Linked DNA regions of Oryzias latipes. The main gene of each other region encodes a partner of the protein of the gene in region 2 in a complex. Links are inferred from orthologs where the notes say so. Each region holds a gene or a part of one and is shown on either strand. Other genes may lie near its edges. The genes, in order: lsm7, prpf8 and tssc4.

What was found.
Region 1: prpf8 (region 2) and lsm7 share a complex: the UniProt entries of both Homo sapiens proteins name them as parts of the U4/U6-U5 tri-snRNP complex. The link is inferred for Oryzias latipes from reciprocal best matches to the Homo sapiens genes PRPF8 and LSM7.
Region 3: the proteins of prpf8 (region 2) and tssc4 are in contact, whole or in part, in a cryo-EM structure (PDB 7PX3), measured with the Homo sapiens proteins. The link is inferred for Oryzias latipes from reciprocal best matches to the Homo sapiens genes PRPF8 and TSSC4. Residues at the interface, in NP_006436.3 of Homo sapiens: Thr2087, Asn2088, His2089, Ile2090, Tyr2091, Val2092, Ser2093, Ser2094, Asp2095, Lys2108, Leu2111, Lys2112, Glu2184, Thr2219, Pro2220, Thr2224, Leu2225, Leu2262, Leu2263; in NP_001284587.1 of Homo sapiens: Pro153, Asp154, Tyr155, Glu160, Arg161, Trp162, Thr163, Lys164, Tyr165, Ser166, Leu167.

The regions. Positions count from the first base shown.
Region 1 is NC_019862.2:8,273,173-8,276,924, reverse strand, and holds the start of lsm7 (U6 snRNA-associated Sm-like protein LSm7), read left to right. Parts: upstream 1-1,442; 5' UTR 1,443-1,549; coding exon 1,550-1,555; intron 1,556-1,788; coding exon 1,789-1,879; intron 1,880-1,974; coding exon 1,975-2,046; intron 2,047-3,678; coding exon 3,679-3,752. Other genes in the region: kelch-like protein 24, read right to left, coding at 1-116, 243-1,152. UniProt on the Homo sapiens protein: Plays a role in pre-mRNA splicing as component of the U4/U6-U5 tri-snRNP complex that is involved in spliceosome assembly, and as component of the precatalytic spliceosome (spliceosome B complex).
Region 2 is NC_019871.2:16,917,365-16,921,016, forward strand, and holds part of prpf8 (pre-mRNA-processing-splicing factor 8), read left to right. Parts: coding exon 1-96; intron 97-201; coding exon 202-321; intron 322-404; coding exon 405-594; intron 595-750; coding exon 751-870; intron 871-1,135; coding exon 1,136-1,270; intron 1,271-1,402; coding exon 1,403-1,532; intron 1,533-1,643; coding exon 1,644-1,840; intron 1,841-2,618; coding exon 2,619-2,825; intron 2,826-3,652. UniProt on the Homo sapiens protein: Plays a role in pre-mRNA splicing as core component of precatalytic, catalytic and postcatalytic spliceosomal complexes, both of the predominant U2-type spliceosome and the minor U12-type spliceosome.
Region 3 is NC_019861.2:37,264,966-37,268,717, reverse strand, and holds the start of tssc4 (protein TSSC4), read left to right. Parts: upstream 1-1,623; 5' UTR 1,624-1,720; intron 1,721-3,580; 5' UTR 3,581-3,650; coding exon 3,651-3,752. Other genes in the region: shcbp1 (SHC SH2 domain-binding protein 1), read right to left, coding at 172-381, 1,283-1,415. UniProt on the Homo sapiens protein: Protein associated with the U5 snRNP, during its maturation and its post-splicing recycling and which is required for spliceosomal tri-snRNP complex assembly in the nucleus.

The DNA.
Region 1 (3,752 bases), on a different chromosome or scaffold from region 2:
CTGCAGGGCCGGCCCATCCACCCAGCGCTGATTTGAACATTCGTATATCTTCACCCAGTCCACACTGAACCACAGCACATCTCTGAAGTGGCCTCCAGTCACAACCACGTTGTTTCCTAAATGGAAAATACACCTTAAATTTACATTTATTTTATACATTTATAATGTAATATAATTTATACATTTATTTCACATTTGAGATTTCAAGAAAAGCATTCTCTTTAATCTTAATTGGATATTACCTACTGCAGCTACTGAGTACTGAGTTAGATTCTTCTGCTGCAAAGGTGCACAGCACTGCCATCTACCGCTCAGAGGGTGGAACTGATACAGTGCCTGCTGTTCCTGATCATGAGGCCCTCCCAGGACATAGAGAGTCTCTGTAGCTTTGGTCCGCCTCAAAGACCTGCCTACTGACCAAGAGGCTGGGAAGTGATCATTCAGCTTGCTGATGAGCCTTGCTCGAGGGTCAGAACCTTTCATTCTGGTCAGAAGTTGGGTAATAAATGCTAAGGAGAGAGACTCTGGTCTCACCAGCTCTATTAGCTCTAAAAAATGTTCTTCTCGTTTAGGATCAAACGAAACCCAGCGCAGGGTGGCTTCAAGCGCCACATCGTCTTTGTGGAGAGCCAGATCATCACTGGCAAGTAGATCAGCAATACTTTCCTTGGAAAGGGACAGAAAATCCTCTTCAGCTGAGACCGCAGGGAAGTGTGTGAGCACAACCTGCCGGGCTGCAGAATAAAGCTGAGAGCAGCCCAGTTGCCATGCATAGGCCATCATTCCTAAACAATTCGTGAGGTGTAGCTCGCGCTCCAAGAACTTGCAACACAGCAGTCTGGCTTTTTCTAGTTGTAGATAGTTTGCAGTCTCAAGAATCCCAAGAACATTTTCATGGTCCAAAGTCAGACGGCGAGTCTTGCTGTACTCTATCAAAACTTTGAAAGACTGTCGACCCACACCTTTGATCTCAACAAGCTTTTTGCGGCTTTCCACACCACAGCCAAAGAACAGAGCTCTGAAGTATGGACTCTGAAGGGCCAGGTGCTCCCGACAGACGTAAAAGTTCTCCTCCTCTACCCGTAGGACAGCATCTGGAATAAAATCCGGCCCAGGGTCTTCCACATGAAAAGCATATCCATCTTCGTCCATTGTGTTATCTAACTCATGGAAAAGATTGATTGAAGCTCTGAAACTTCACTTCAGTCACTGTAAAGAGTAAAACAAGTCTACTGCTTTGTCCTGTTTCTGGATCACAACTACGGTAGGTTCCCAACACACCAGCTGGTGTGTACTTTGTTTATTAATAGACGCCCCTGCCCGGAGAATGCAGTTAAGAAAGAGGTCAACTTTGAAAAGTAAAAGTTTTTTTAAAAATTACTATTAAAATACAATTATTTAGTAAAACTAAAGCTAAGAACATTTTTTTATTTTATTTTTTGAGTGCAAATAACTTCAGATGACGTCAGATGCGAGTTTACGGCGATGTGATTGGTGCTATTAAATTGTATCTGGGGTCAAAGTTTAACTTCCGGGTCACACTTCAAACATGGCGGTGAGTGCGAAATAATTTCGTTTAATTTTCTCTCTTATTGTTCACCGAACATTTTCTATTTGGTGTTAGTCAGTAATAGAATACTTGAGGAAATGAGAATAACATTTCTGAAGTAACGGCCGTTTTATTTGTGAAATTGTTACTGCCTTAGTCAGTGATGCTAAGCTAATGCTAGGCTAAGGGTCTGCGCCTTAAACTGTGCATTAATCTTGGAAACTGACATTTCTTTACAGGATAAAGAAAAGAAAAAGAAGGAGAGCATCTTTGACTTGTCCAAATACATCGACAAGCCAATTCGTGTGAAGTTTCAAGGAGGACGGGAGGGTAGGTGGCTTGTCGAAAGATTGTAACTTGTGGTGACCAGAATATTCACAGTGATGTCAGAATATAATTATTTACTTTGTTTATTCCCTCTTTAGCCAGCGGAGTTCTAAAAGGGTTCGATCCTCTATTGAACCTGGTGTTGGACGGTACAATTGAGTACATGCGTGGTAAGTGAAAACTCACGTGTACCCACTTTTCTTAATGGAGAACTAATAATTAAGTAGTTAGGAGTTATTTAGTCCATGGTTTACTGATACTGTTATGTGGACTCAGGCTGTGAGGTTCAAACTTTCTAATTCTTTTTCATTTCCAAAAATACTGTAACTCTTCTTTCAGTTAGAATATCAGCTTCACTCTTCAAACTGTTTTTTTAAGTAAATCAATTGTATTGATCTCCATTTAAAAAATGTAATATTTACTCATCAAAGCCGCAAGATTTTCTTTTTTTTTTTTAAACGATTTTCTCGTGCCTTCTCAGACAGGAGAAGCCAATCTGTTCGCCTTTATAATATTTACAATTTTTTGTATTTAAAGTTCTATTTTTCTTCAATTTATGAAAGTGACTATTCCCACATAATTTTCTAAATACGTAGAGCCGGTGCAGAACTTCTTTCTTGGCCTCACAGACCTGGAGGAATGGTTAGGGTTGGGTAAAACCACTAATGACTCTGATAAATGCATCTTTGCTGAACTTAATACGTGAATTTCCATCTGTTCTTGTGCAGTTTTTACTCGTAAATAAGTGTGAAAAACATCAGCGTTAATTTAATTCATCAGTTCTACAAAAGTGTGTATTTCTTAAAAACTAAAGCTTTAATAAAAATTGAAAAAAGTTAAATTGGAAATTAAAATGAGACTGAACTTTTTCAATAAACATTGATTTATTGTGCTGTAGTCTAAGACAGGTATTTTAGGACTTAATGTTTTGTTTTTAATCAAACTTTGAACTGCGTTTTCTAATCACAATTCCCCATCTTGAAAAAATGTCCTGTTTGTCATCATGAATGCATCATGTCTGCATCATGTCTCTAAAGATTCATAAAGAAGGTTATTCATATTTTTCAGAAAAACCATCAACAAGATGGACTTTTGTTTTCCAAATACATAACATGACCTCATTATTTCTTACTATGATGAGCATTCATGATGAAGACACATTAAAGTCGAGAGAAAATTAACACTAGCCCACTCTCTAATGCCGGATTAACAATGATTAATAAAGTAAACACATTTTAAACGTATATATAATTTGGCTGCATTAAAATGTCACAAAGAGCAGTTGGAGCTACTTTGATCGCCATGGCGAAAAACTGTTTTTTGTAAGAATGTTTTTTCTTCTAATTCTCCTTTCTAAATATTGTAACTTTTCTTTCAGTAAGAATTTCACCTTCACTCTTCAAACTAAGTAAATTAATTGTATTGATCTCCAGTTAAAAACTATAATAATAATTCATCAAACTCGCGTTTAATAACGATTAAAAACTTGGCGTGTTTTTCCGTAAACCAAAGTTTTTATCTCCCATTTGCATAGGTTCTAATAGGTCATTATCATATTCTGAAGCATTTCCTTAACATTAAGAGTCCACTAGCTAGAAAAAAATGTTTTTGTGTTTGAACTAATAACTCTTTGCATTGTAATATTGTTTTCCTCTAGTATCGGATCAACTGTGGACTCTTGTTCTGTTAAGCATTTGTCACATTTACTGACGGCAATAAAAATCTCTTTAAATGTACAAAAACTGCAACATAAAGATGAACATCCTCTGGCATTTACAATCCCTTTGTGTGTCTGTGTGCAGATCCAGACGACCAGCTGAAGCTGACAGAAGACACCAGGCAGCTGGGGCTGGTGGTCTGCAGAGGAACCTCCGTC
Region 2 (3,652 bases):
AGCCAATGGCATTGCTCTGCTTTGGGCTCCCAGACCTTTCAACCTTCGTTCTGGCCGCACTCGGCGTGCCATTGACATCCCTCTCATCAAGAACTGGTAAGCTGATGGCTGTACAGTTTTAATACAATTCTGGATTTGGGTTGTATACAAAGCTAGATTTTACTTGAATAAAAATGTTGTAATTATTAAAATATTACACAGGTACAGAGAGCATTGTCCAGCAGGACAGCCCGTGAAGGTGCGTGTATCATATCAGAAGCTGCTGAAGTACTACGTCCTTAACGCTCTCAAACACAGACCACCAAAGGCACAGAAGAAGAGGTGAATACAGCTTTTTATTATTTGACTGATGGTTTTAAGACGTGTGTAGGTTTTTATATGTCTTTTCTGCTGTTTCCTTTCAGATATTTGTTCCGTTCCTTCAAAGCCACCAAGTTTTTCCAGTCTACAAAGCTGGACTGGGTGGAGGTGGGCCTGCAGGTGTGCAGACAGGGCTACAACATGCTCAATCTCCTTATCCACCGCAAGAACCTCAACTACTTGCATCTGGATTACAACTTCAACCTGAAGCCAGTCAAGACACTGACCACAAAGGTAAACCAACCTGAGCAAAGCTACTGAATGTTTAAATAATTTCAACATGAAATTTTATTATATATATACATATATTTTTTATTTTAATCCACAAAGCAATTTTCTCTGTTTCTGATTACACCAATTTTGATTTGTGGCTTTGTTGTTGTCCTCCAGGAGCGAAAGAAGTCCCGGTTTGGGAATGCCTTCCACCTGTGCAGAGAGGTGCTGCGCCTCAGTAAACTGGTGGTGGACAGCCATGTGCAGTACAGATTGGGAAATGTTGATGCTTTCCAGGTTAGTGTTTCAAATTTTGGGCCTTTTTCTTTTTAAAGGTATTTTTATTTTATTTTGTAGACAAAGAAAAAATATTTTGTTTTATGTGTTGGAAATATTAAAGACAGCACTTTAGCTTTATTAAGAAAAGTTTTGATAATTGACTTTTTTATTATTCATTGTGTTGTTTTCATAAACACAACTTTTGTTTGGTTTGGTTATGTTTATTAACTACAGACAAGTTCCAATTCCAATAATTAACTTCATTCCTTGCTTTTTGTTGCAGTTGTCTGATGGACTGCAGTACATCTTTGCCCATGTTGGACAGCTGACCGGCATGTACCGCTACAAGTACAAGCTGATGAGACAAATTAGGATGTGCAAAGACCTGAAGCATCTCATCTACTATCGGTTCAACACTGTGAGTATAAGCATGCTGTTCTTGTAGCCTTATTTTTGTCTCTTTTTAAAGTCCGTTTACTTGATTTACACAAACTCTATAAGACCCTCACATTGCAATAGCACCTAAAGGTAGTGCTTGTTATTCAATCAGGGCCCCGTGGGCAAGGGTCCCGGTTGTGGATTTTGGGCTCCTGGCTGGAGGGTTTGGCTCTTCTTCATGAGAGGCATTACTCCACTGTTGGAGAGATGGCTGGGAAATCTGTTGGCCAGGCAGTTTGAAGGTACGACGACATACTTCCACATTGTCTTTTTGAATTTCAGGTTCTGTTGTGCATTTATTATGATTCATAAATTCAATATCAGATTTATCTGATTTGTGTTTATCATGGTAGGACGTCACTCAAAGGGCGTTGCCAAGACTGTTACCAAGCAGCGTGTGGAGTCCCACTTTGACCTGGAGTTGCGTGCTGCGGTGATGCATGACATCCTTGACATGATGCCCGAGGGCATCAAACAGAACAAGGCCAGAACCATCCTGCAGCACCTCAGCGAGTCCTGGAGATGCTGGAAAGCAAACATTCCCTGGAAGGTCAGTGATGCACAGTCAACACATCTAAGAGGCTTTGTTTTATTGTTTGGAAACACACAAATATAATTGAAGCTTGGGCCGCCAGCTCACACAGCGGCTTTGGGGCAGTGAGCTTTTCATAGCAGAAATGCCGCTCAGTCCTTAGAAACCGTTCAAACAATCACTTGGATTTGTGTTTCCAGTCGTGTCCTGACAAAATAAAGACTGATGTTATTCCCACATATTTACGTGCAGCCAAGATGCAGATTGCAGCATTTCCCACGTGGATTTTGTGTTCATACAAAGCTAAATGTTGTTGGTAGCGCATGTTATTCTTCACCTAATTCTTCTTCCAGCTCTGTTCTTCCACAAAAATGCACTCACCACACAGATTAAAAATGAAATGAGCGAACAGGCGCTTCATAGTAACCATAACACTAATAACAGCAGGTTTAGAAGATCGTCTCGTATATTACAGAGCTGCTAAATAGATGTATGTATTCGCTCTGTTTGTTTACTGTGGGACTCATTTCCTCTTCCGGTATTGTCAACACTACTGCGCATGCCCAAATGATTTATTCCGACCGAAAGTGAGACCCATGTGAACGTTTGTTCTAATCAGAACATTTTTTTTGGGCCCATGTACACGGTTGAACTTTAATACGACCATTGATCCCATCAAGATATTTGGCGCCTGTAACCGCGGCTACTGTTTGAGGCTAGATCCTTGTAGCTAACTTTTATTTTGTTTAAGGTCACCTCTTATTTACTTTTTTTTCCCTCCCCACGAAAATGCCAGGTGCCCGGTCTTCCTACGCCCATCGAGAATATGATTCTCCGGTACGTAAAGGCCAAAGCTGACTGGTGGACCAACACGGCTCACTACAACCGTGAGCGAATTCGCAGAGGAGCCACTGTGGACAAGACGGTGTGCAAAAAGAACCTGGGCCGGCTGACACGTCTGTACCTGAAAGCCGAACAGGAACGACAGCACAACTACCTGAAGGTAACAAAAAACCACTCACATTTTATTTGTCACATACGATACATATAAATTCACAGAACAACCTTTTGAAAAAGGCTTTGTGCCACTGTCGGACCTTTTAAAATTCCACAGCTGTTTAAAAAAGGTTTTAAAAGAGATGCAGAGTGGACTAAATGTAGAAAGTAAAATATTACTGACTAAACTGTGATATGTAAAAAAACAAACAATTAAATGGAGTATAAAAATAAGATTCAATACAATATGAGTAAAAAAATCAAATGGATGTGAACTGGAATTAAATATATGTATCTTTCTGTAAAAATACACATAATAGACATGTTGGTAAGGACATGTAGCAGCTTTAAACCCCCATAAGATTGATATTGACAAAATAATAAATAAAAAAAACATAAAATTGACATGGTTGTAAAAATTTAAATGTCCAGATGCTGTTATAGTATATACAGTACACAACATAACGTGACCTCTTTCACACTGGAGATAAAACTCTTATTTAACCCTCCTGTCAGGAGTATGATTTAGATTTTTCTTTTAAATTGCTGACAAGATGAAAAACACATTCCGAAATATATATTTTTTCTAAATAAGAAAAAGTCCTCTTACAAAGGCGCTCTGGCATTGGTCTGCTTGTCTGTGCGTAAGAACAAGAGGAACATCAATGTGAACAGTTATTTTTATTGCTGGTTACAGATGCAGTTGGCCACTAACTGTTCAGACAATTTAATTCATCATTTGAAAAAGTACAATTAAAAGTGTTATAATTCTTAACCCATGAGTCTCAATCTAAAACATTTGACCTGCTTTAAACTTTTTTCCTAACTTTGTGT
Region 3 (3,752 bases), on a different chromosome or scaffold from region 2:
TCTGACCTCCAACCGTTTTTATTTTGAAGCCTCTGCCTAAGCTTTGTCATCACTGTTGTGAACAATAAAGTTTGAACGCCATCTGCAGCTCTTTCTACACCGTCGTGGGTGTTTTGCATGATTGTACTGTAATATAACCGCCTCCATGCGAGCGTTGGGGTCCCCCGTTACCCAGCATGTAGTCCTGGTACGCCTTGAACCTCTCGTAGAACAGCAGGCTGCCGGTCTGGAAGGTGTCCGGCAGAGTCGCTCCTGACCGCCGCTCCGACCTCTGCAGCTGCGTCCCCGACCTCTCAGAGTTCTGGTGGTCTGTCCCGCTGTCGTCGTCGTCATCCTCGTCTTCGTCACTGACGTCTCCAGCATCATCGTTCTGGAACAGAGCTGCAGAACCCAGCGGAGGTCATGAATGATGGCTGTGAAAGTTTGTCCAGCGCCACTTTTCAAAATAAAAGACTGTTAATGCTTTTTTAAACTTTGAAGGACTTTAAAAAAAATGTTTGCATTGATTTAACTCATTTATAAAGTTATTTTGCTATTTTAAAAAATATGCTTTCAACTCTAATTTTAATAATAATTTCATAGGCATTTTAAATGTTATTTTTGTCCTTAATTGCTGTATTTTTAGTAAGTTAACAGGTTTTAAGGCTTTTTCCGGTCCTCCTGTGTCAAAATCCTCATGAAAGCAGATATTTTCTCTTCTCTTTTATTTAACAATCTGTTAAACAACTTCATAGAATCAACAAAAGAGTCACAAATACTGTGTCTACATACACAAATAAATGAATTTATTTACACCCCCGTTTTCCAGGTGTCAAACTCCAGGCCTCGAGGGCCGGTGTCCTACATGTTGTCCAACCAACCTGCCATGAAGCACACCTGATCCAGGTAATCAGTAGCAGATAAGGCAGGATATCTTAAAAAAAAAAAAAGAAACAGTCTGACACCCCTTTTGCGGTCTTCTATAGGTATATTTTGTTTTTGTAATAACATAATTGTGTTATTTGTTTATTTCAACATCCGTTAATGTCTACTCAGATGAGAGTGAAATATAATTATTTGTCGTATTTGGGTTAAGTTTGGAAAATCCTGCAAGATTGACAGTTCCGAGAATGCAGCTCAGGCTGACGACATATGAAGACGCTGCGTTCACAGACCGCCGGAAACTCGGATAAAAAGTCTGCTAAATCTCCAAGCTAGCAAACCTCGACGGCAGCGGTTAGCTTGTCTCATACACCGACTCGGAGGAAAGAAAACTCAAACCAAAAACGGTAACGTAACAAACCTTGCGCTACATCCAATAAACCGGGTCCCGCGGAGCAAACGCTGTCCGTCTCGACCTGAGGATCCAGATCGACCACCACCAAGTCCGACACGTCGCTGACGGTACACCCGGTTTCCAGGGCTTCGAACTCCATTGAAACGCTCGCCAGAGTCTCGGTTTAACGGGATTAAATGAGGATCACGCGGCACTTGGAGCTTTGAAACAACAAGCGGAGTTCTGAGCCCACGCCCTGACACTTTCAAAAGATCCCGGTCTGCTGCAGCTCAGCCAATCACAGCAGGGAGCTATATAAAGACCCGCCCTTGTTTTTTTACATGCGCGGATCGGCTCGGTCTGCAGTACCACAGGACAATCGTTAGGGGGCAGTAATGACGTAAACATTACACGATCTACCGTAGAAGAAGAGGGTTTCGGCCGGCGGTCTGCGCTATTTCAAAGGTACAAACGGGATTTAAGTCAAAACTACGCGTATTATATAAATATTTGTCATGTAAACAACAGCGCATTTCGCAGCTCTTTTCGGCTAGACAGCATTTTTGTTTTGTTTATAAGCATTTGTAACGTTGTTAGCATGTCGCGCTACTACTAGCATCGTGCTACTTAGCATGCTAACTAACTTCAGTCTGAATCTTGTTTTTACGAAGTCAATATTCCGAGTTATTTTTATTTTTATTGCCAATCTTTTTAAATAAAATCAAAACAAAAGCTTTAGTTTTTTAGGCACAAAAAAAATTCATATATGAGATGAAACAGATGTTTTAATTCATGCGCTGTTAAGGCTGATGATCATGATGATGTTATTATTGTTGTTCGCACGTATTTTTACTAGAAAACAAAGTTATGGAAAACATATTTAAAGTTAAAATCCCATTAACTGTGAGAAAATTGTACTTTGATCCTGGAGGAGCGGAGAGCTGCAGAAACAGCCGCTCAGGAACCAGGGGGGTATTTTCTTTATTTTTAGCTTTTTTTTTAATTGAAAAAACACTTGAGGTTTACAATTTGTAACAATTGTATACAATTATGACAAGTATAGAAAAGTAGAAAAAGTACAGGACATGAACAAACAACATAGGCAGGATAAAATAAAAATATAACAATAATACCGAAAAAAAATTAAATAAAAGAAATTAAAATAAAAAGGGGGTCACATAGACATTTTAATGATTCTTGACTTGGGGGGTTCTCAAAAAGCTGCAAGTTACATATAATACTTTGAAGTTCCATAGCAAGTTTGATTTCCATGAAGTTTGCAGATGAAAAAAAGAGCAGAGTTCTTTATGAAATGTAAAAGAATATGGTTGGATTTCAAGGAATTGACATTTATGTATATAGAATTTACCCAAAATAATTACAACATTTAAAATAAGTTCTGTGTTTTTTTGTTTTTTAAATTAAACCCAAAAATGATGTCCTTAATAGAAAAGTCTGCTAAATGTGGGATTTGGGGGAAAAGCCAATAATTCCAAAAGACATTAGAGTCAAAACATTCAAAGAAAAGATGCTCAGTTGTTTCAATGTCATCATGACAAAAAGAACAGCAGTTTTCAGGAATTCCAAACCGTTTTCTTAGTAATTCCTTGGAAGGGTAAAATACCTGAAAAGGTTTTAAAATTGACTTCCTTGGCTTTAGGAGGGATGGGGAGTTTGAAATATTTGGTTCGTATTTGTTTCTTTTCTGAATTATTGAAATATTGGGTTATATAATTTGAATTTGAGATGTAGGGAAAGGACGTTTCATTCAAATATTCTCTGATTTGATGGTTGGGGAGTTTGAGTTAGGGTTACCAAGTCCAGCGTAATTACACTAACTCAAATCTGGTCATACCGACATACCCAGAGTAAGCAAGTTCAGGCGGATTTCAGCCAGAGTTCAGGCTTAAAGTCAGGCTAGTTTAAACGTGCTTCCTGGATACCTGCCTGAACTTACCGAAATCCTAACCTTGACCCTTCCTGTGGGTCCGTGCAGCCAATGACAACGTTCAGCACTGGCTGCACGTGCGCATTCTTGTAATTATTGACCTTTTATTGGGTCATTATTTCAAAACATTTATTTCAAGTTTGTTTTGAATTGAACAGAATTAGGACTTAAATAATTATGCTTGCTTTTAAAATGGATGTAAACATAGAGGATCATTATTATTTTACAGGTTATTTCCAAAACCCTCATATTTACTGTTGGATGCTCGGTGGTCCGTCCTCACAGGTCCTAGCAGCTTGTTGTTGTTTTGGTAGATGTTAAAACCAGTCCATGCAGGTTTGATGGGGTGGCCTGACCTTTGGTGTCTTCCTCTACAGTTTTGGGGTTCCCACCTGACCGGGTTTGTCTTCCTCGCGGCTCGGGGTTCGGCTGCAGCCGCGGCTGAAGATGTCGCAGCAGAAATGCGTCCAGAGCTGCGGCGACGACCAAGAAGGCTTTGAGCTGTCGGCCAGTGACGAGTCGGAGCCCGAGGAAGAGCTGAGCCGGGCG